6 linked regions of the Nothobranchius furzeri genome follow. The protein of the gene in region 4 interacts with the protein of the main gene of each other region in a biochemical or structural test. Links are inferred from orthologs where the notes say so. Each region holds a gene or a part of one and is shown on either strand. Other genes may lie near its edges.

Region 1 (2,935 bases), on a different chromosome or scaffold from region 4:
TGTGTGGGTTGCAGACTCCATCTCATGCTACTACTAGAGTGAAAGCATTCAAAAGTGACCAAAACATCATCCATCATCCAGAAAGCAGAGGAACTGAGAAGTAGTCTGTGGTCACCACCTGCAGAACCATTCGTTTTTTGTTTGCCTATAAATTCCACCTGTTGTCTTTTCTGTTTGCACAACAGCAGTGAAACTGCTTCTCAGTCACTGTCACTGGAGTTACATCGTGTTGTTTAAGTGTTCCTTTTATTATTGTTGAGCAGTGAACTTATATATAGATTTACATATCTGGATTTTTACACATATTTAAAATGTTAATACTTAGTAATTGTTGCATTGGTGATTTTGTAAACAAAAGTCTTTCGTTGAGTTTTATCAAGTTTATCAGATTCTAGCTTCTACTGCAGCCAGAATTAAGGACTTGAGGAGAGCTTGTGTCAGATCTCATTTTTTGTCGAGGCAGCAGATTTTTCAAGACCCACAAAGCAATCACAGACATCTTCTAGGGCACATATAAGTCTTTCGCCTTAAACCAGACAGACTGGCTTCCTCTGACGCCCACCCTGGCCTTTGTACAGATTTAGACATGCATCATGAGGAGGTCCACTGCACTTTAATTGGCACGTATATATGCTGGAAGTTGTGGGGCACCAGATTTCTAAATGAAATGAGTCTGTGGCTGCTTTGAACATCAGTGATGTTGTTACTATAAACTTTAAAAAGATAAACACGTTGGGTTTTTTTCCAGACGCGTGCAGCAGGGGGCGCGCTTGCATGACGGTGTAAACTGGAATTTTATTTTTTACTTTTTATTTGACTTCTGATATCAGCTCCCATTCATCAGCCAAAGCTGCTTTTCTCCTTTTTGTTCTGCTGCTAGAATTTTATTATAGCCTTCATCTGGTGCGCACGTACATAAAAACTAAAGCAAGTTTTATTTTGTTGTTCGGTGTTTTATTGTTGTTGTTTTGTTTTGTTTGTTTGTTTGTTTGTTTCATCGTGACAAAATACTTTAAATAGCATGCGGACGGGAAAGAATCTTCTCCGCACGGTACAGGTCGGTTCTGCTCTGCGTGACACACCTGCCAAGTTAAGCCCCGCCCCCACCCCTAATAAAACCCCTCCTGAGACAGGAAGATCTGTCAATTCCTCCCAATCCAAGAGCTCCCGCGTAGTAGGAGCTGCGTGTTTCTACGGGTAGTGACCGAGGAGGTTTAAACTCTCTGCATTCCGACGCATTTCACAACTGAGGCAGGAAAACCAGAACCAGCCAGGGCGTCCCACCTCAGCCCGACGTGCTCCTGCACTCCAGCGGGTGTTGAGATCCATGGAAGTGGCCGGCTTGTACGAGGAGGGCAGCTTTGCTATCCACGGTAGAGACGGCTTCATCGGACCCATAGGCGGAGGCTCTTACTGGAGGCTGGGCGACTCGATGACGGAGCTGGGTCTGGGGGAGCGGGAGAGAGCCATAGACTTCAGCGTTTACCTGGACTCCGCTTTGCACTGCCCGCAGCTGGCGGCGCACACGCAGCAGCAGGGGGACGCCTTCTCTGATTTCCTCGGGGAGAACAAGATCAAAAGACTCGCAGCTTTCCAGAACTATAAGAATTACTCGCTGCTGAGCGAGCTGGAGGCGAGCCAGTGCGAGGGTGCGAGGGAGCCCAGGGATCCGTACGCGCTGGGTTACCCCGAGCTGCAGGAGACCCGTGTGGACAGCGTTCTCAGCCCGGATCTGGTGGCCAGCCGTTACCGAGCCGCCGCTTCCACCGAGAGAGAAGACAGTCCGGAAGACGCAAAGATGGAGAACGGGTCATCTGGGTTTGACATGAGGTCCTACCTTCATTACCAATCCACCAGCGGAAGTATTGGAAACATCTCCACTGCGTCCTCGACCTGCTCCAGCCCGCCTGGCACACCTGCCCCGTCAGGTAAAAGCAGGTCACCGTCGCACGGTGGAAAGTCGTCTGGCGGGAAGGCGAAGAAGCGCCTGGACAAGGACAGTGAAGAGTACCGGCTGAGGAGGGAGAGGAACAACCTGGCAGTGAGGAAGAGCAGGGACAAAGCCAAGATGCGCAACTTGGAGACGCAACACAAAGTGCTGGAACTGGCTGCGGAGAACGATCGTCTACAGAAACGCGTGGAGCAGCTGTCCAGAGAGCTGGCCACCCTGCGCAACCTGCTCTCCGCCACCGGACAATGTTAGAACTCCCCACCTCCATCCCCCGGGGATACCGCACGGATCTCCCCCCGGATCCCCGCGCTGCTTGCCTGACAGACTTAACGGCGCAAGAGGCGACCCACTGTGCTGAAAACGGTACTCTGTAAACAGACCGCCAGTTTACATGGACACTTTGAATGAGACTGAACAAGTGGCTGCATGGATTGCGCAACCATTACGCGACTTTTCACTTGTCCTCATAGCTTTATTCTCAGATGTAATTTTAGTGTATGCAGTATTTCTGTGCAGGTTTTACATTACCAGTGAATTTCTACATTTTGTGTACACTGTATCTGCAGCAATGGCTGTCAGGGGAAGAGTTGTGCTGCAGTGAAATGATGCAACTCTTTGTAATAGTATTGGCAATGAATGAAATAGTCTAATTATTTAATATTAAAAGGTGAAATGCTTTAATTGTTCTTGATATTTTATTGAATTAAAGAGATTTATACTTTGTTTAAACTATTTCACTTCCCTTTTCTTCTTTTTTTGTCCCTTTCACCATGGATCGTGCATCGTTCACCGTCATCATAGACTGTGTAATACCATGTTTTGGGGTTACGACACACTGCAGATAAGAAATCACCTCGATGATAAGCAGAATGTGCACATTTAAATGTCAGGCTATGGTGAAATCAAACAAAGCACCATGAGATTTTTCTCTTTGGAACAGCTAATTTAGAAAATAGTCACATGGGCCCACACAAAACATCACTC
Region 2 (3,500 bases), on a different chromosome or scaffold from region 4:
ATGCCGGTTTGCACACATTACACTCCCTCTGCTGTTTGTTTAGAATATCAAATTACAGACATTTTCTCTCTTAAGGCGACAGCCATGCTCTGTTAGCTAGCTGCTGTGTGTTATGTGTGTGAACTCCCGGTCTACCTTAAACTTTACGGTATCGTTTGTGACACAAAGAGCACTGATGGAGAGGATCTAAGCCGTCGTTTTTCCGTTAGAAAATCTCTTTCTCCGGACGAATTTAAACGTTTGTTGTTTTAAGCGGTTAAATCCAGTTGTCCCCTCCGATTCCAACCTGTTTAAAATCACACGGTTGGACTCGATTTCCGATCGTGTGATTGTGTCGGAGCGTCCCTGGTAAAAACTGCTGAAATGTGCAAATAAACAAGTACAAAAAGTTCCACCTAATGAAGTGAAGTTAATCTAGAGTTCTCTATTCAACAAAAACATTATCTGGCTCCAGATTTTCATATTTACAGAAAAGGTTCTCCGTCTGTCAGAAACACGAAAGCACCCAAACGTCCTTCCCGTCTCCATCTCACCTCTCAGCAGGACTGTCCGGGTCAATGTAGGCGATGAGCGGCGGGGATGACAGCGTTTCTGTGGCAAACACTCCACCCTGGAGCTGCAGGCCGAACCCCATGATGCCGTCTCCTAGCAACATCACCTCGGTGGTTTCTGTGTGGACCACCTGACCGGCGAGACCCACGGTGCTGGACGCCAGAGATACTGATGGGAGAATTTTAACGACATTTAATTACAAACAGACTCAGTTTCTGTTTGCTCCCGCTCGTGGGCTAATACAGTTTTATTCAAAACGTGGATAGACTCACAGGAGCTCTTGAACTCCTTCTTCTTAGCCTTCCTCCTCATCATCGTGCTGCGTGGACTTGTGGGATACATGTTCCTGGGCAGGGTGCTCATGTTGAGGGACGAGAGACTGTAGGCAGACATGGAGCCGGGAGAGAACGAGTGGCTAAGGGCTGGGGAGAGAGAGGGAGAGAGGGAGAGAGGGAGAGAGAGAGAGAGAGAGAGAGAGAGAGGGAGAGATTTAGTCAAACTCTCTTGCCCCTTATTTAAAGAAGCAGAGAAGCGGGGCGGACGTACGAGGGTTGTTTGTATGGCGGCTGTGCGATCTGCCACCTGATTGGTCGGGGTGATAGGTGTTGTAGTGGTAGGGGGGGAGGATGGGGGTGGAGCCTCCGGTTTCCCAGGGGAGGGGGCGGGGACTACGTTGCACCTTGACTGCACACACGCACACACACACACGCACACACACGCACGCACACACACACACACACACACACACACACACACACACACACACGCACGCACGCACGCACGCACACACACACACACACACACACACACACACACAGGAGGATGTTCAGGTTCAGACAAGAGGAGCAGGCAGAGGTCAAAGGTCAGGAGGTTCTGCAGCAGTACAAAGAAGTTTGATTAGAACCACGTTTCCTAAGATGGTCAACAAGATAATTCCTGAACAAGTCCTCCGGTCCACGATCAGGTGTAGAAGGAAGCATCGTTCAGGTCCTTAACTCTGTTTCAGTATCAGACTTTTAGACTCCTTTCATCTACTAGGAAACCGTTTATCTGAATGACCCAGAGGTCAGAGTTAAATAGAATGACTCTGCAGGTCACAGGTCTCTCAATAAGATGTTTGCATTCATGTCGACTTGTGGAATAAAAGCCATTCTTTGTCTCCTCTAACAGAAAGTCGTGGTGCATTTAAGGCCTCCTCAATGTCAAGAGTTTGTTTAGGATCCATTAAATTTGACGTCTTTATGTTCCCATCATACTGGAGGACATTTGAGTCCAGCAGAGATGTACATGTAGGGGAGCGAGTTATAAATCTGTCAGCTCACCAACATCTCCGTCCAGAACCAACTAATCTCTCCTACAGGTGGTTTCTGTCTGCTTAATTAACAGCAAAGCAGTAAAACATAAGTTATGTAAAAAAGGTCCCAAAAGATCTGTAAACAGAAAACAAAACAGACATGTGGTGGTGCGTTCAGGGCCTGCTGTGTTTTAATACTGAGCTGTGGTGCGTTCAGGGCCTGCTGTGTTTTAATACTGAGCTGTGGTGCGTTCAGGGCCTGCTGTGTTTTAACACTGAGCTGTGGTGCGTTCAGGGCCTGCTGTGTTTTAACACTGAGCTGTGGTGCGTTCAGGGCCTGCTGTGTTTTAATACTGAGCTGTGGTGCGTTCAGGGCCTGCTGTGTGTTACTATCGAGCTGTGGTGCATTCAGGGCCTGCTGTGTGTTAATACTGAGCTGTGGTGCGTTCAGGACCTGCTGTGTGTTAATATTGAGCTGTGGTGCATTCAGGAGCTGCTGTGTATTAATATACCGTGCTGTGGTGCATTCAGGGCCGGCCGGGCCTGGTGCTGAGGCAGGATCTCCATACGGACGGTCTGACAGGAAGCGGAGAGCAGCTGAGTGGCTTCAGCCAGGGAACAGAATTCCATGGACTTCCCGTCGACAGACAGGATGTGGTCTCCTGCATGAAGAGCGCCGCACCTACACACAAACACTCATGTTCACCAGAAGGTGGAAGCTAAAACCCATAAAAACCTGCAAACTGGAGGAACGTTGTGCCCATCGAGTGAAGCGAGTCATGAAAGCATCAAGGCAATCAAGAAGAACGTCTGTAACTGACTCTGAGACAAACGCAAAAGACCCCATCAGCGCTATGATTCCTTCAGATAAACACAGCAGAAGGTCAGATCTGTTCAGCAAACATTAAATTATTCAGATGTCTGAGAAAATAATCCGTTTACTGAGAAAAAGGTTTATCATCAAATAAAGAAATGAAAGTTCTGCCAAGCGGGCCGTGGTACCTGTCCGCTATACTGGCTGGTTTGACTTTGTCGATGACGATGACCTGCTTACTGCAGAACACGGAGGTGGACAAGGCCACACCCAGACTGGAACCCGTTGGCTTGGCAACCTCAACCAGCAGGGGCCCCGACGCCGTAGCAACCGAGTCTACGGAGAAAAAACAGCGAGTGTAACGTGTTTCTGAATCTAGTTTAATTCCCTCATCCTGGTGTTCCACAGGGCTTTGTCTTTGGGTGCACTACTTTTAATAACTGAACTACCTCTTCATTAATTTTGTTCATTTGGTTTTAATCGGACTAAACTGACCCATCACGGACACGTCATACTCGATCAGCAGCGTGGCCTCCTGGCCGCACTGCTTCAGGATGCTCATGGCCTCAGACAGCGTGCTGCCATGGAGACGAATCCCATCGATGCTCAGCAGTCGATCACCCGGCTTCACGGTTCCTTCTCTATAGAAACAAAGTTGCTTTCAGTTTGTATGGAAGCTCAAAAGGGTCAAAAATGTCTGAACAGGAGTGAATGGAAGAGGCAGCACCTGTCAGCTGGCCCGCCCGGCCTGATGGTTGTTATGACGATGGGGCGGGTCTTGTTCCTGTCCTCGTACGCTCCGCCTGCGCAGGTAGTCACACGATGTGTTTGTTTTGGATT
Region 3 (4,267 bases), about 1.5 Mb from region 4:
GCCAACCCAGATCCTGGTCCCAACCAAGCCACCCTCTCCTTTGCTCCTGGGGTAAGGAGAGGAGGGGGCAGAGGCCAGAAGAGCGACATACAGGCGCCATGGCGATCCCTAAGACAACTTATCTCCTTTCTCTTAGTGATAGCGCTTGTCAAAATAACTGCCAAGATACACAGCCAGTGAGGAACCGGTTAACTTGTAGGTCGTCCAATCAGCAGGCTTTGACTTTTTCCATTATCTAACTGTTCTCTTTAACTCTCTCTATGTTAGACTTTTATCAAATAGATTTTAAAAGTCATTATATTTAAAGCCAAACAAGGCTAATAAAGTCAAATATATAGGTGTATTTGTGAACTTGTGAATTAAAGCAACGGGTGTAATTTATTTCAACATTTCTACCCATTCAGAAGACATTTTTAAGCTGCTGCTAAAGACAAAATATCCTGATGCATATCTTTTCAAGGCTAAATTCTGCTTTAATCATACAACCTCAACTTCCTGTAGGAAACTTTCATTTATAAAGAAATGTCGCCGCCTAGTGGTAATAGTTGGTAACTCCCGCTTCATCATGGTAAGATAATGAAGTACCTAACTTCTGGGGTTAAGTGATGTAAGAGGCCTCCTAAATGTCCAAGAAAAAAAACAGCAAAATATAAAATTATTAAAAACTAATGTAAATTATTTATTTGGTGTGATTTATGTTTATTAACAACAACAATAAAGTATATTTGAATTGAAACCTTTGTATGTTTATTTATTTGGCAGACGCTTTTATCCAAAGCAACGTACAATTTTTAACTTGTAGGACATGCTGTGATCTGTAGGGGAAACCGGAAAACCCGGACGAAACGCACGCATGCATGGGGAGAACATGCAACTCTACGCAGAAAGGCCACAGCCGAGTTCCGAACATGCAAACACAGTGCTAACAACTGCACCAACGTGCAGCTTTTTATGATATGCTACTCTAATTTTTGCTTTTTAATTAATTTTGGATCTCTTTACACATTTTCTAAACAAATCCCTTTAACGCAGGTTTGTGAAAACCAGCTTGAAAGCACAAAAGGAACTGTAATAATTGGGTTGTTTAATTAACAAAGTTTAAGTACCCTTGCAAAACAATCAGAGTAATCAAATTGACGTTATTTTGTTGAAAGAAATAAAGGTATGTAACCATTGAACCGTTTTATTAGGAACAAGGATCAAAATAAAACGCGTATCCAGACATGAATTAAATCCAGTGCAAAAGCAAGTTCCCTGACCGGGAATCGAACCCGGGCCGCGGCGGTGAGAGCGCCAAATCCTAACCACTAGACCACCAGGGACACTGTAAGCTTCAGGTGATATGTATTATATTTTTATAAAATCAATGAATATTTTTTATTTATTTATGTGTTTGTTTTGTTGCTGTATGTTCAACATGACTTATATGTTTGCGCATTAGCAGAAACAAGGTAACACCGCCGCGTCGTCCGCTGGAGGTTAAAAGAAAAGAAAACATCAGCCTGTCCGTGTTTTACCGAGCACATGACACCAGGGGGCGTAGCGAGGGGAGGAACCTTCGTTGGTTTTCATGTAGCAACTCGAAGATGCTCGCTAGGTATGTGAGCAGCTACCTGTTTCTCATGTCAGGTTGAGCGTTTCGCAGCGTTGTTGCAGATAAATAAGGCGTCGCCGCTAAGCCGGACAGCTAGAACGTCTCATGGTTAGGAAGCGCGTTCTGACCGTAAGGGTTGTTTCTTACCAACACCAGGTTGTTATTGTCTGTGTAAACAAAGTGGCTAGCTGTAGCACCGTTAGCACAGTTTTCTTGTCAGCTGGAAGACGATTGGACCTTGTTCGATATGCTTTTGTTTGCCGTGGCTCTGATAAATTATACATTAGTACAGCTGGGTTTGTGTTGCCCCTTCTGCTTCGTAAAGGACAACAGCTAAAGATGGGCGAAGAGGCTAGAAATGACCATAATAGACAGTGAAATTTACACGTAACAGCGGCTAGATATCTAGCATTCAAGGCTACTCAAAGATAAAGTTAAGCTCATTAGAAGTGCATTGCTTAAAATGGACTGTTTACAGAATTGGATCCAATGCTAATAATAATGGACAAACTGACCGCTGCATTACATAATAAACCACATGCTTACTGTGGAAACCAGGAGCAGATGTTTTTGTAACTAGAGCGTTTCCACCTTTTTATTTTCAGCTGACTAACGTGACGTGATTATTATAGGATGCTTTCATCGCCCTCCACTTATGCTAAGGGACTGATGGATCTGTTATTGGCTTTTTTTTTTGCAGCCCACTGAGTGCTGTGGAGTGAGGAGACACGCAGAGAGCTTTCTAATTTCCTTCCTTCTTTCATTTACAGGATGAGACAGAGGTGTGAGATCTGAGGAGGGTTGTCTCTGTTAGTAGGGATGCACCAACTCTAACTGCATGCAGAAATAGAGCCCTGCCCAGATGGAAAAGAGAGAGAGAAAGCAAGGATATTTTGACAGGTAAGGCGGATTTTGTTTGCATGTTTGCAGTTTTTTTAGAGATACGCAGAAAATTTGTCTGGTGACTGGAATGGTCGATTTTCAGCATAACCTGCATCTGACAATTTTCTTTAGTTTTTCCCATTTTCCACTGAATCAAATTCAGAGTTGATGTTTTTATCACCAGACTCATCATTTTCAATTTAAGTATTTAAAACGATGCCCGTATTTTCAAAAATTGTTGCAGTGTCAATGCAAAGTGGTGTCAAAGGGCTGCTTGCGGAGCTGTAAGTTACTGTTATTTTCCCAATGTCATGTTTATGAATAAATCATTTGGCTAATCAGATGGACTCTAGCTGCCCTCATTGTCCACATCTGGTTTCTCTCTCTCTCTCTCTCTCTCTCTCTCTCTCTCTCTCTCTCTCTCTCTCTCTCTCTCTCTCTCTCTCTCTCTCTCTCTCTCTCTCTCTCTCTCTCTCTCTCTCCTCTCTCTCTCTCATTATTAACAATGTGTCATTCATTCATTCATTCACACACACACGCATTCACAGCCTGGTGGTGATTAACTGCTATGTAGCCACAGCTGCCCTGGGGTAGTCTGGCAAGCCAGACTAAATAAATGTATTATTTATAGTTTTAGTTCGCTGTAATTAACTTTGCAAAGCAAGAATTTAGTCCAGTTCACAAGGCTAGCCCTGGGGCACACTGACATAAATTAAATTGAACATATAATATACATATAATTAAACAAAAATGAATAAAAATATAAAATTCCAACAAGTAGGTTGTGGGTGGAGGGCTTAGGCCAACCAGCCATTCCTCCCCATCCCCACACATTTCTCTCCTCCTGCTCCCTCACATCATCACACAATCATGCACATAGGACTTTGGGGGGTGGACAAGTCAGGGGGTGTGGGTGTGGACCCCATTTCCGCATTCCTGTGGCAGCCTGCCCCCCAATTTTATTTGCACATTAAACACTTCCACCAACGACATTCCACGCAAACACACACTTAGGGCCTTGGGAATAAGCGCATACAACGGCATTTGGCAAGGGGATTTCTCAGCCTCATCGCAAGTGCCGGTGCCCACTTTCAATTTTAAACAGCACTTAGACACAGAGGGTTGTGGGGGGAAGAGGGGTGGTGTGGTGGCATCAGCTGGCATAGGCCAGAATATGCCTGTACTGCCCGCTCACCACAGCCACGAATACACCTCATCAACATGCACCAACACTGTATTGGAGCAGGCGGAGGGTGACTAGGGGTCTTAGCACACCTCTGGAGGCTAGGAGGGGGATCTGGCCGTCTGGCTGGGGTGTGGGTAGTGGGTCGCTGTGCTCGGCATTGGGCGGGGGAGCCTGCTCATCAGCACCCCAGGTCGAACTCTGGGAACCGGTGATGGTTGTACCCCTTGTGCAGCAGTACCGTGACCAGAGTGAATAGGGTGTGTATGGGGAGTGTGAGTGGGTGTCTGGTGTGCATTTTTGTGAGTCTTTGGTTGTATGTGTGTGTGTGTGCATGAGGGAGGGAGTGTATGACTGTATATGTCAGGTGGGGCCTTTGACTCCTCTCTTTTCCTGGGACTTCTTTTGCTGCTATACGTCTTCGCCTCCCTTTTCCCTGTCACACCTGGTGTGGAGTGTGGTGCCGTGGTCTGCCTGAGTATTCGCGGCTCCCGGGTCAGGGGGTTTAAGATTTTTAGCGTCTGCCTGAATGATCCCGGTGGCTGTCTGGTGGGATCTGGGTCCCTGGGCTCTGTTGGGTCCCCGGCGGGGCGGGTCGCCCCGGGTCG
Region 4 (4,172 bases):
CTCAGTGCCAGTGATAGGAATGCATCAAAACGAGAAAACCTCGGCTTAAATCAAGCGAACTAGCGCTGCATTATGACCAGTTCCTCTGTTTACGGGATGGTAAAGTGTTATGGGGGGCAGTGCAACAATAACGGCGACAACATTCGTCCTGTTTGGTGTGAAAGTGGAACCAGACCTCTTTTACTTCATAGATAAAACTGGAAGCTTATGTGCACACAGTTCTGTCAACTCAATGAAACCTGTCCTTTTTAAATTGGTGGTGATTACTGGGTTTTTGGGTGCATGGAGCAAATTGTGTTGTTTGCAAAACTAAATAAATAACTGCAGTGAATGGACCTTATCCCACATTGTCATGCTTTTTACAGAAGACGGATGGGAACCATGAATACTGGATTTGTCAAATCCAGTTTTTGAAAACTGGATCAAGATTTTTGCCAACACTTGATTGTTTTGATGAAGATCAGGAACAGGCTCCATCTAGGAGCTGAAATTTGCACCAAAAAGTCACAAAATGCTGCAACGTTCTGGATGAGCTACAAAAAAAATTCAGGCTTTGTCATGGTGGTCCTTCAGGAAAATGGAGTCATTTACTGCCGGAAGCTTCCTATCTTGTGCCATTTAGGCGATTTGCTGCAGCCGTTTCTCACCCTTGGCTTTTGCTGTTTCCCACCATCTTAATTTTATTTCAGGAGAAATGCAGAATGCTACGTAAATCATCAGAGCCACTTGTTTTCCACTTGACCTGACATCTCCTGAAGATGATGCTGTGAAGTCAAGAAAAGGTGAAGATGAAAGAAAGCTCCGTGCCCCAGTTATTTTGGTCTTTTCCAGTGGTTGCTGCAACTCGTCTGCTTTTGTAGCATCTATGCTCGCTTTATCTTGTTCCCTAAACTTAAAAGAACATTATTTCTAATTTGACGGCTGAGCCTATTTGGGATTTGATTAAAGTATCTAAACTTTTTCTGAGTATTTGCTGCCTTGATGTCTTTTCCCCAACATCCCAGGACATCAAAGGTCCCTGATGGTCCCAAACCTGAAACTTTTGCACTGCACAAACAAAAACTGTCCCCTCGCATCTTTGCACAAATCCTTTTTAATCTGCTGCTGATGATTCATTATGACGCAACACCAACCTGTAGAACCAGAAAAATCCTTCCATTTCCTGCAGTTTCATTCTAAACTTCACAGAAAGATCACTTAGATTGTGCATCTATTGTAAAAAACATCCATCTACACCCTTATTTGGACTTGGTTGCATAATTATTGTCCGTCAGAATGAGATTTGACCTCCCGCTTTGTTTGCTGTGTTATGGTGACCTGGCTCCTAAACGCACCATGGCTATTGATTTGGCTGCATCTTTAATTTGTTTATCCGTTTTTAAACCTTTCCACTGTTCCCAGCGAGTCCGACGAGCCCATCTAGATGCCTGTGAGGCAGGCAGAGAGGAAGGGAGAAGGAAATCAGCCGCCGTTGCGCAGCATATCTGAGGATGATTCATGTGTGAGAGGTGAGTGGAGTCTCATGCAGGATTTTTTTTATTGTTTTTTAGCTCGTGAGTTGTGAAGCTGTTTACTTTTATCCCGTTTTCACAGCGATCGGCTGCCGTGCATCAGGTGGATTTAGTCATTAGGCTGCAAATAGAGCGGGGATCTTTGCTGTGCGCTCAGGATCATCTAAATGAAGGAAGAATATTCAGAGATAGTCGTGCTGCTATAGAGTTTCCTCCTGTCTGGCATCCAGATGCAGCCGCTAAAAGCTATTTAATGCAAAGGTGAAGTGGAAATGGCCATGTGGAGGAGAGGAGACGGGGAAGTTATTTGGGAATCACTATTTCTGTCATTCCTTCTTGTCTTTTCCTCTCTCCCACCAGCTTTCCCTGACTCCCACACTTTAAAGGAAAAGAGGGAAACACTACACTCAGGAAAAAAATAACGAAGTGGATTGGGAGGAGTCTTTTTTTTAGAGCCTGTTGAGCAGAACCTGAAGGCAGACAGAGCAAAAGAGGACTCAGAGGTCTCTCCAAGTTGCTTGACAGGAGTTCTAGGAGAGACGAGATCCAGAGAGAGAAAGAAGAGAGGAAGGAGAGGGTGAGCAGTACTCCTCTCTCCCACCCAACAAATGGGAGAGCGGGTCTAAATCATGTTGCTTATCAGTGCTGTTGTGCTGTGATGTTCAGGCAGAGCCCGCTGCAGAGCAGGAAGCAGTTTGGACCAGCGCTCCGAACCAGGATCAGCCCAGCCTCCTCAGAGCTGGAGACCCTCTCCCCACCTCGGCTCTCACCCTCGCCCCGTGCCCTCCTCAGCGACATGTACCCTGAAGAGAGCCGAGGCTCTGGAGGGGTCGCCGCTGTGGACTTCCTAGAGGGGACGTACGACTACGCCGCCCCCACCCCTGCCCCAACTCCTCTTTACAGCAGCTCCACCACAGGGTACTACTCTGCTCCTCTGGACGCCCATGGACCTCCGTCTGATGGCAGCCTGCAGTCTCTGGGGAGTGGGCCAACCAGTCCTCTGGTGTTTGTGCCCACCAGTCCAAGACTCAGCCCCTTTATGCACCCTCCCGGTCACCACTATCTGGAAGCTGCTTCAACTCCCATCTACAGGTATGAGATTTGAATTTAAACGAGCGTGCACCACTCGTTAATCACTGATGGTGAGCACAGGCTGGAGCAGGACTTGATAGAACTGCTAAGATCAAGTCAATCTAAAATGTCAGATGAGTTTAGTCAATTATTAATAAAGACTTTAGGAGGCCATTTCATAAAAAATATATTTAAAAAATACTTATTTGGGTGTATTTCCCCAATTTTTTTCATGGTTTCATTTTGATGCAAATTACTGCTGCATAATTATACACTTTATTTCTAATTTACCACAAAAAAATCACAAGAAAGTTAAATGAAAAACTGCTTTTAGACATTTTGTTTTACAGGTGAAACTCAAAAAATTAGAATATCGTGCTCAAGCCCATTTATTTCTGTGATCCATCTTAGACTGAGAGACCATCTAAAGGCCCAGGAACCCTGTGCAGATGTTTATGATTCATTAGCTGATTAGAGTGTGACACTTTGAGCTTAGAATATGGAACATTTTCACAATATTCCGATTGTCTTGAGATTTTGAATTCGGGGCTTTTTATAAGCTGTACACCACAATCATCCCAATTATAACAAAGAAAGGCTTAAAATATCTGGCTTTGCATAGAATGAGTCCATCTCATTTATTAGTTTCACCTTTTAAGTCAAGTTACTGAAATAAATAAACTTTTGCTTGATATTCTAATTTTCAGAGTTTCACCTGTATTTTTAGTCTAAGAAAAAAAACATTCTTATGTAATGAGGTAAATATTCTTTGATTTATTCACTAGTTAATATAATGATAAATTCATATTTTTTGCACTCAAAATAAGAAAACTTGGTCATATTTAAGAATATTAAACTTTTTTCAATTAGTTTTGTTTTTGCAGATAACGTTTTTTTACATAAATAAGAAAAAATGTTCAAAATCAAGACTTTTTTTTAGCTTTTTTGAAAATCACTTTTTGCAGTGTATAGCATTGGCGGTTTGGTTGAGTCGTTAAAACGCCTTAAAACAAAACATAATTAAATAATCGCAGAGCTTTTTATCTCTAGCTTCAAACAAAACAGCACTATTATCTCTCTGTAAAGGATCAAGCGCTGTCCGGGTTTCTAATTCCAGAGATTAAGGACTTGGTAAAGGACCTTGAGAGAGGAACAATACGTAAGAACAACACAAGTGCACATGCAGTCTCAGGTGGAAAACACGAGGCCTCTGTCATTTTTAAAGTCACTATGCAAAGGTTCACCTCTCATCTGGAATGGATTTAATGGCTCTAAACACTTTTAAAAATGACAAAACTGGTATTTGTTCTGCATAATCGTCTAAACATTGCTTTTTATCCTCATATGCTAATAAAAAACTGTTATTTATAGTGTTTTATGAGTACCGCAGTTTAATCAACAAATTAAAATTCATGACTCGTTGCAGATCCAGTCACCAGCCAGCCTCCAGAGAGGACCAGTGTGACGCCCGTGACGAGGCATTCAGTGTGGGGGAGTTAGGAGCCGGAGCTGGGGGGTTTGAGATGGCCAAAGAGACACGTTTCTGTGCCGTGTGCAGCGACTACGCCTCTGGGTACCACTATGGGGTGT
Region 5 (3,262 bases), on a different chromosome or scaffold from region 4:
GAGTTAGGAGCTATATAAATAATCTGAACTGAAGAAAAACATGTACATTATTGAGATTAGTTGTGAAATGGCCAACAACAAGAGAATGTAACATTTGTAAAAACAATAACACTATTTCTTTTTTGATCAAGATGCTTTTTTAGATAAGTTTGTCTCACAAACGGAACATCTGCAGTTAGAATGCCTCATTTCATTTCAAATGTGTTGACAGCAAAATAAACATGTTCAAAAACTTCTACGTAAATGCAGCTGTTACTCAGGAACTGGGCAAAAGCAAATGCAAACAAAGAAACTATAGAAGCAGACATTTGTAAAACGGGTTAATTACGTTCCAGATCACTAACAAACACTTCTGTGCATGTTTCAAATGAAAAACTGGTCTTACACACGACCCTTACGATCACACAAACAACCTTTTAATCTTCTGTGTAATAATCGTGTTAAAGATCGAAAAGGCAGAATTAAAACGCAAATCTTGATGGATATCCATTAACGGTGTGGAACACTGAAAAAAAGTTTTAATTATTATTTCTGATTATAATCGGTCTCCGAGTGTTTCGTTCATGCTGAACATGAAAATAGTCTCCTACACCTAGGATTTGAAAAGCCTGACAGATCTACGCCACGCTGTCACCTAACATTCATGGACTCACCCTCCTTGACTCGCGGCTGTTGTTGGCTTAGCATCCAGGAAACAGCAGAGAGGTAGTAGAAGCTAACGTTAGCACAAGCAACTCCACCACACAGCAGACCTCCTCCAGGCTCGTGTTATTTGTGGAGAGAAAACATCAACGTTGAAGAGCAAACAGAGTCAGTGGTAGAGTCGCGTTGCTGCTAGCCGGTCCGATTTTAAAGGTTAGTAGGTGAAGTGGTTATAAGGTTGAAGTATGCTTTGGGACTTCTGAGGATTAGATGCATTAAGTGTACATTTTACCGTTTGTTCCCACCCCAGAGTTACAGGTTAAGCTATCAATGCAACTTGCCCCTAGGGGGCTCGCTACAGCGATGAACTTGTTTTATATTCTTCCCGAAGTCATTTGGAATCATTTCAATAGTTCCTTTAGTCATCACACACTGTTGAAATTCATCTCCGCATTTGACCCATCCCCGTGGGGAGCGGAGAACTGCAGCTGTGGTCGGGAATTATTTGGTGGTTTTATGCTACTACTACTGTTTCCCTAAAATTGAAGCATAATTCCCACTGTTCCCGGTTTGGAAACGTTTGTCTAAACTAAACTACGTTTGATGAGAACACGATGTGAAGGTCAACGGCCTCCTTTGTGGTCTGGCCTCCTTCCAGCACTACAGGTGTGAGCTGGCGGGTGCAGTGACACAGCGTGGGGCTGATTACCTCTGCAGTCCTTGGTAGCTTGGTACTGCCTGGGTTGATGACACTGCCTTCCAGATAAGGCCAATCCCACTTGATATCCATGTGTGACTCCAGCAGCTACTTCTCAATGAGAAAAGCTTATCTGTTTCCCAGGGTTATTCCAGCAGTCACCTGGCAGAGCGCGCGGTTGTTTTTCACATTGGGTGTATTGACATTTCAAGGTCCACTAAGAAGGGAGGGTTGGCCTTATAAATAAGACTGGAGGAAGCAGCAGCTCTCAGAAGCTCAGACGGAGCCCGTCGTGGCAGAGAAGAGGTTCAGAGGAGCAGCCGCATCGAAGAAAGATGGATAACAGATGCCAGTGTTCCGCTAACAAACAAAGGCAGTTAAACCCGATCCTCTACAACATCTTGAGCCAGATGGACAGCGGTAGACCGACTCCAGACACCTCCAGCCACAGTTCCGTTCCTCACAGATGCAACTGTGAGACGCGGCGGAGAGTGTGCTTAAAAAGGCCGTCTGTGGTCTGCAAAGAGGCGTCTGCAGTTCTGGTGAAAACCGTCCACTTCATGAAGAACTTGCCAGCGTTTAACCAGCTGCCACCCAGTGACCAGTTTGCACTACTTAAAAGCAGCTGGGTGCCACTTTTTATTTTGGGTTTGGCCCAGGAGCGCGTGGACTTTGAGGTGGCGGACGTCCCTGCTGACAGCATGCTGAAGAAGATTCTCCTGAACTGCCAGGAGAGCCCTGAAACAGAGCGGGAGCAGCCAACCATGGCAGGCATCAGCAAACTCAAGTCGTGTCTCAAAAAGTTCTGGAGTCTAGATGTGAGCCCAAAGGAGTACGCTTACCTGAAAGGGACCACGATATTTAATCCAGGTATGTACTGCGTTAACTGGATTCAGACAACAGATAATCCAAGGACTCGTTTGTCAAGCAACAATTCTGGTTTTCTCTCAAACAGATGTACCAGATTTGAAGGCAGGCCTGTTTGTCGAAGGCTTGCAGCAGGAAGCTCAGCACGCCCTGAGCGAGGTGGTCCAGCTGCTTCACCCTGGCAACCAGGAGCGCTTTGCTCGGATCCTCCTCACAGCCTCCATGCTGCAGGGCATCACACCCAGCCTCATCACCGAACTCTTCTTCAGGCCTGTGATAGGCCAGGCCAACCTGCTGGAGCTGCTGGTCGACATGCTCTTCAGCCGATGGGAGGGGTGGTCCTCGGGATGGTGACCTCCATGCAGCGTGCTTTAGAGGCTTCTATAAAGCACACTAGGGTTTTGACTTTCGTCCGCTGAAGCTGAGGTCACTTCACCGTCTGAGCAGAACTCCTGAGAGGTTTTTGAGTTTTGATCCTACGTGTCGATGAGCTCCTCTGCTGTAAATAAGCATCTGCATTTCCAGAAAACTTGAATAAATATATTTTTGTACACGACTGAGTCCGATCCGTGGATCCATCCTCCATTACATGTTGTGCTCAGCAAACTTTTCAGAAAGTCAAGCGTAAGCCTGCGCGTTAAAGGAGAGAATCTAAAATTAGAATGAAAACACACATTTGTGGCTTCAAATGGAACAGAAAACCTTTTTTCTGCCTGTACTGCTGTGCTGTGTCTCCCTCTAGAGGACGTTTGGTGGAAGTTTTTTTTTCTCAGAAGACTAGCGGCAAATATTTTCTTACTTTTGCATTTCTCACAAAACCACAGCATCAAGATCCCCCCACCCCATCGTCACAAAAAGGGACAGAATGGCACGAACGCTAAACTCAGCGCAGTATAAAAAAACACTGTCTGCATGTAGTTATTTGAGAAATCAGGCTTAGTCATCCTACTTTGTGGTATGTTAGTTGTGAAACCCTGTCTTTACATGACAACTCGTACAGGTAAAACAGGAATGTGCTGGTGGGGGCGGTGAGCCGGTGGAAATGGGGTTACGCGT
Region 6 (3,360 bases), on a different chromosome or scaffold from region 4:
TGATCTAAACTTTGCATCCTGTAACAAAAATACAGCACAAGTAGGGCTGGGGGTAAACGATTATTTTTAAAACGATTATTCTGACGATTATTTTATCGAATAGTCGACTATTCTAATGACTATTTAGAAAATTAATCTAATGATTATTTTTCTATTGCACAATTAACAAAAACCAGAAAATCTCAAATAAATTCCTCAAAAAAATTGATAAATTGTTACTGTAAGAGAATAAACACTACAGGCCTTCCATTTTGTATAACACTGCTTTTATTGTGTTGCGGTTGGTTATGTTCTGGTGACGTGTAGAACTTGGGAGTGCAGGCTGCTGCCTGAGAGGTGGTAGAAGATGGAGTGTCTCCACGCTGCTTTGTTTTGGTCACTTATGTGCGTGAGGCGAGTGGTCTTACGGGTTAAACCAAACTCAAGGTGATATTTTACACTAAACCGAAAACCCACAACACTCTAAATGTAATAAAAGGGAGATCTACACCACAAAAAAGATTAACTCTAAACCAAAACGTAACAGCTTATCCCAACGCAAGAAGCTGTTAGCGAAGATGCTAACAGTAGCTTTACCAACGTTAAGTTCAAGTTACCAAGTTTAAATAAACCAAAACACCCAGCAGCAAACAGACCAGCACGGAGGAGAGACTGCTACCACCAAAACAGCTCTCCTAATGTCTGAAAGAAGCTCCTTTATGAAGGGAGAAACGCTCCCGGTGATTTTCTACATCTGCGATAGAGACGGAGCAGCGCATCTGACCCCGGAAGTTGTTGTCCGTTGCCGGGAGACGAAGGCGGGCAAAACAGGAAAATAATCTAGTAGTGGACGGACATTGTTCCGGGTCTTCGGTATTTGGCGGAGATGTTAGTGAAGGCGGAGAAGAGGGCGAACTAGAGGAAAAACAGGCAGATTCCTCCTCTATTTACAAACTCCTGGGGATGCAACAAGTGGGCGCGGTGCGTCGACTTCCGGATCTGACGTCGACAAATTTTTAGAATCGAGCCGTCGACGTAGTCGAGGCTTCGCTACAGCCCTAAGCACAAGGGGAAGCTTCTCTGTCATCCTGGACATGATCATCTTGAGTTGAACTGAAAATAGTAGAAGGCTTATAAGTTCTGGTCAGAAACACACTGACAAGTCTTGTATTTTGTAAAATGATTTTGTCAAAATTGGGCAATATTATTGCTCCTTTATTCCAGATCATGTAGCAAGTATAATAACAGCATTGATACATTTATGGCCAATCCATAAGCAGCAAAAAACCTGATCTGAGCATCGCTAATGTTTGCAAAGATTTAATTAAAAATGGTACATTTTTTTAATTTAAAATTCATATAATTGTGAAAGTCTAACTTGTGTTTTGTAGCTATGAACCGGAGCTGTTTCCAGGACTGATTTACAGAATGATCAAACCCAGAATCGTCTTGCTCATCTTTGTTTCTGGGAAAGTAGTGCTCACAGGTAAGGCCCGAGCTCTCAGACGGGTGTATTTTTAGATTCTAGTTAAAGTATCACCTAATAATTTGGCACATTGTTTTGGATCTCCTTTTATTTTGAAAGGATTGTAATTTTTTTATTTAAAATAGAACAAGAGATTCTGTAAGTTTTCTAGATTCATCTTGATACTGATCCATGTTTCAATCTTTTTTGTTTTTCCTGAAGGGGCCAAAGTGAGATCAGAGATTTACGAAGCATTTGAAAACATTTACCCCATTCTGAAAGGTTTCCGCAAAACGACGTAGGACCTGGGGTTTCTTTTCCACCTCCTGAAACCTGATCCTCTTATTTCATTCATTATTTAATGTCACATTTTTAATGAGAAGGTAGACTGATGCAGGTGTTGGGAGTTTTTTCATCCATCTTTCTGTCTTCAATTTTTTTAATCATCATTTTAAAGGTTGTTCTTTCACTCTGACCATGTTTATTGTGTCCTGTGGTTGCAGGTTTTTGTTGTCCCATCTCATCCCCAACTGTACATATGACTGTAAAAAATGTAAAGTGTTGTTGAGCAGAAAAGCAGTTCGACGACTAGGACTGCTGGTTTTATGTGAAGCTGTTTTAAATACTTTTATACTCTCAGCTGTTAGCATTTGTTGACCTCTCTTTAAATCCCCTGCTGTACATGATACTTGGGATTTTAAATCCTATGCTTACTCCCTTAAGGTAGAAAATAATCCTGATTAATGACTTTTTTTTTACACTCATTGGGAGTAGACGCCCATTAACTCAAGCTGAGCTAATCTTTATTTGACTGGCCAAGTTGTCCATGAATGTTTGCTGCTGCTAAACAGTTAAGTTGTTTAGAGGCGTTTGATAACTTTCGACTTTGTCTGGTTGAAGTCGTGAAACAATCTTTCTGTTGAAAGAGAGAACTGGTTTGTTGTGGTTACAGGAAGAAAGTGTTTAATGGTTAAACTTGAATGTGTGTATATGTTCTTCTGTAATTAGAATGAGAAGTGATGCCAATCTTAAAGTCGATGCAGCTCTTCAGCGGGATTTCAGTAGGCTCAATATTGATATAAGGGAAAAAAAGCTCTTATGATTAATATTAATTTCAAACCCATGCAGTATAGTTTTAAAAATGTTTTTGGTTGTTTCAAATCAGCAGAATTTTGGCTGTTTGGCCTTTGTCTAAAATTAAAACTCAAGTAGGATCACATTGAAGTCATTGCTGGTGGTCTTATGTGTTATACGGTCAGCTAGTGACGTTTATGGCAACTAGTTAAAAGTCTGGTTTATTTAGTGACATGTTCAGTCTCCATCTTTGTCTCTTCTGTCTGATTTCTGTCCTCCCAGCAGACTCGAAGAAGTTTGGTCCATTGTTTTCTTTTCCACCCAATAAAAGTGTACATATGACTCAAGTCTACTTGGTTTTCTTTGCAGCAACATTTTACAGCTGAAGTCTCTTGCGTAAAACCAAAAGTCACCATGAAGAAATAAACTGTGAAGACTAAAATACTGAATCCCTGTATAGAAATAGTTTAGGGAAAACCTCTGGGTAAGAGTTAAAACATGTTGTAGTTGGATGTTAGAGCTGCAGAAAATACATAATTTCTCTGAATATCTGAAATAAAGTAATTTGTGTATTAAACAATACAATCATTCTTACAAAAGGAATTGTGGCTTATTTGATACCCATCATAAAAAAGACAAGTCAGGATTGTCTCCCATGTAACATCAGTCAAAAGAGAATCATTTGTAGGTGATTATGTTGGAACTGACATGTCAAAATCATTAAATTTTAAGAACAAGGGTGGTATGGGCTTCTGGTCAGGATGCTTCCTGGACGCCTCCTTGGGGAGGTGCTTCGGCATGTCCTGCCGGCAGGAGGCCCCCGGGTCGACCCAGGACACGTT

The links.
Region 1: the proteins of esr1 (region 4) and cebpb form a complex in vitro, tested with the Homo sapiens proteins (2 studies listed by BioGRID and IntAct). The link is inferred for Nothobranchius furzeri from reciprocal best matches to the Homo sapiens genes ESR1 and CEBPB.
Region 2: the proteins of esr1 (region 4) and grip1 form a complex in vitro, tested with the Homo sapiens proteins (2 studies listed by BioGRID and IntAct). The link is inferred for Nothobranchius furzeri from reciprocal best matches to the Homo sapiens genes ESR1 and GRIP1.
Region 3: the proteins of esr1 (region 4) and ncoa7b form a complex in vitro, tested with the Homo sapiens proteins (2 studies listed by BioGRID). The link is inferred for Nothobranchius furzeri from reciprocal best matches to the Homo sapiens genes ESR1 and NCOA7.
Region 5: the proteins of esr1 (region 4) and nr0b2a form a complex in vitro, tested with the Homo sapiens proteins (2 studies listed by BioGRID). The link is inferred for Nothobranchius furzeri from reciprocal best matches to the Homo sapiens genes ESR1 and NR0B2.
Region 6: the proteins of esr1 (region 4) and tbp form a complex in vitro, tested with the Homo sapiens proteins (2 studies listed by BioGRID). The link is inferred for Nothobranchius furzeri from reciprocal best matches to the Homo sapiens genes ESR1 and TBP.

The regions. Positions count from the first base shown.
Region 1 is NC_091755.1:52,069,630-52,072,564, reverse strand, and holds cebpb (CCAAT/enhancer-binding protein beta), read left to right. Parts: upstream 1-1,163; 5' UTR 1,164-1,327; coding exon 1,328-2,203; 3' UTR 2,204-2,435; downstream 2,436-2,935. UniProt on the Homo sapiens protein: Important transcription factor regulating the expression of genes involved in immune and inflammatory responses. Also plays a significant role in adipogenesis, as well as in the gluconeogenic pathway, liver regeneration, and hematopoiesis.
Region 2 is NC_091741.1:34,258,608-34,262,107, forward strand, and holds part of grip1 (glutamate receptor-interacting protein 1), read right to left. Parts: intron 3,464-3,500; coding exon 3,388-3,463; intron 3,302-3,387; coding exon 3,156-3,301; intron 2,997-3,155; coding exon 2,849-2,996; intron 2,529-2,848; coding exon 2,359-2,528; intron 1,237-2,358; coding exon 1,099-1,236; intron 975-1,098; coding exon 825-974; intron 721-824; coding exon 534-720; intron 1-533. UniProt on the Homo sapiens protein: May play a role as a localized scaffold for the assembly of a multiprotein signaling complex and as mediator of the trafficking of its binding partners at specific subcellular location in neurons.
Region 3 is NC_091742.1:4,412,591-4,416,857, reverse strand, and holds the start of ncoa7b (nuclear receptor coactivator 7), read left to right. Parts: upstream 1-1,467; 5' UTR 1,468-1,597; exon of another isoform or gene 1,598-1,723; intron 1,724-2,362; exon of another isoform or gene 2,363-2,364; 5' UTR 2,365-2,456; coding exon 2,457-2,494; intron 2,495-4,267. UniProt on the Homo sapiens protein: Enhances the transcriptional activities of several nuclear receptors. Involved in the coactivation of different nuclear receptors, such as ESR1, THRB, PPARG and RARA.
Region 4 is NC_091742.1:2,865,243-2,869,414, reverse strand, and holds the start of esr1 (estrogen receptor), read left to right. Parts: upstream 1-1,372; 5' UTR 1,373-1,497; coding exon 1,498-1,508; intron 1,509-1,937; exon of another isoform or gene 1,938-2,088; intron 2,089-2,177; coding exon 2,178-2,603; intron 2,604-4,008; coding exon 4,009-4,172.
Region 5 is NC_091745.1:40,694,475-40,697,736, forward strand, and holds nr0b2a (nuclear receptor subfamily 0 group B member 2a), read left to right. Parts: upstream 1-1,235; 5' UTR 1,236-1,674; coding exon 1,675-2,209; intron 2,210-2,294; coding exon 2,295-2,560; 3' UTR 2,561-2,762; downstream 2,763-3,262. UniProt on the Homo sapiens protein: Transcriptional regulator that acts as a negative regulator of receptor-dependent signaling pathways. Specifically inhibits transactivation of the nuclear receptor with which it interacts.
Region 6 is NC_091749.1:35,004,844-35,008,203, forward strand, and holds the end of tbp (TATA-box-binding protein), read left to right. Parts: intron 1-1,370; coding exon 1,371-1,465; intron 1,466-1,666; coding exon 1,667-1,746; 3' UTR 1,747-2,860; downstream 2,861-3,360. UniProt on the Homo sapiens protein: The TFIID basal transcription factor complex plays a major role in the initiation of RNA polymerase II (Pol II)-dependent transcription.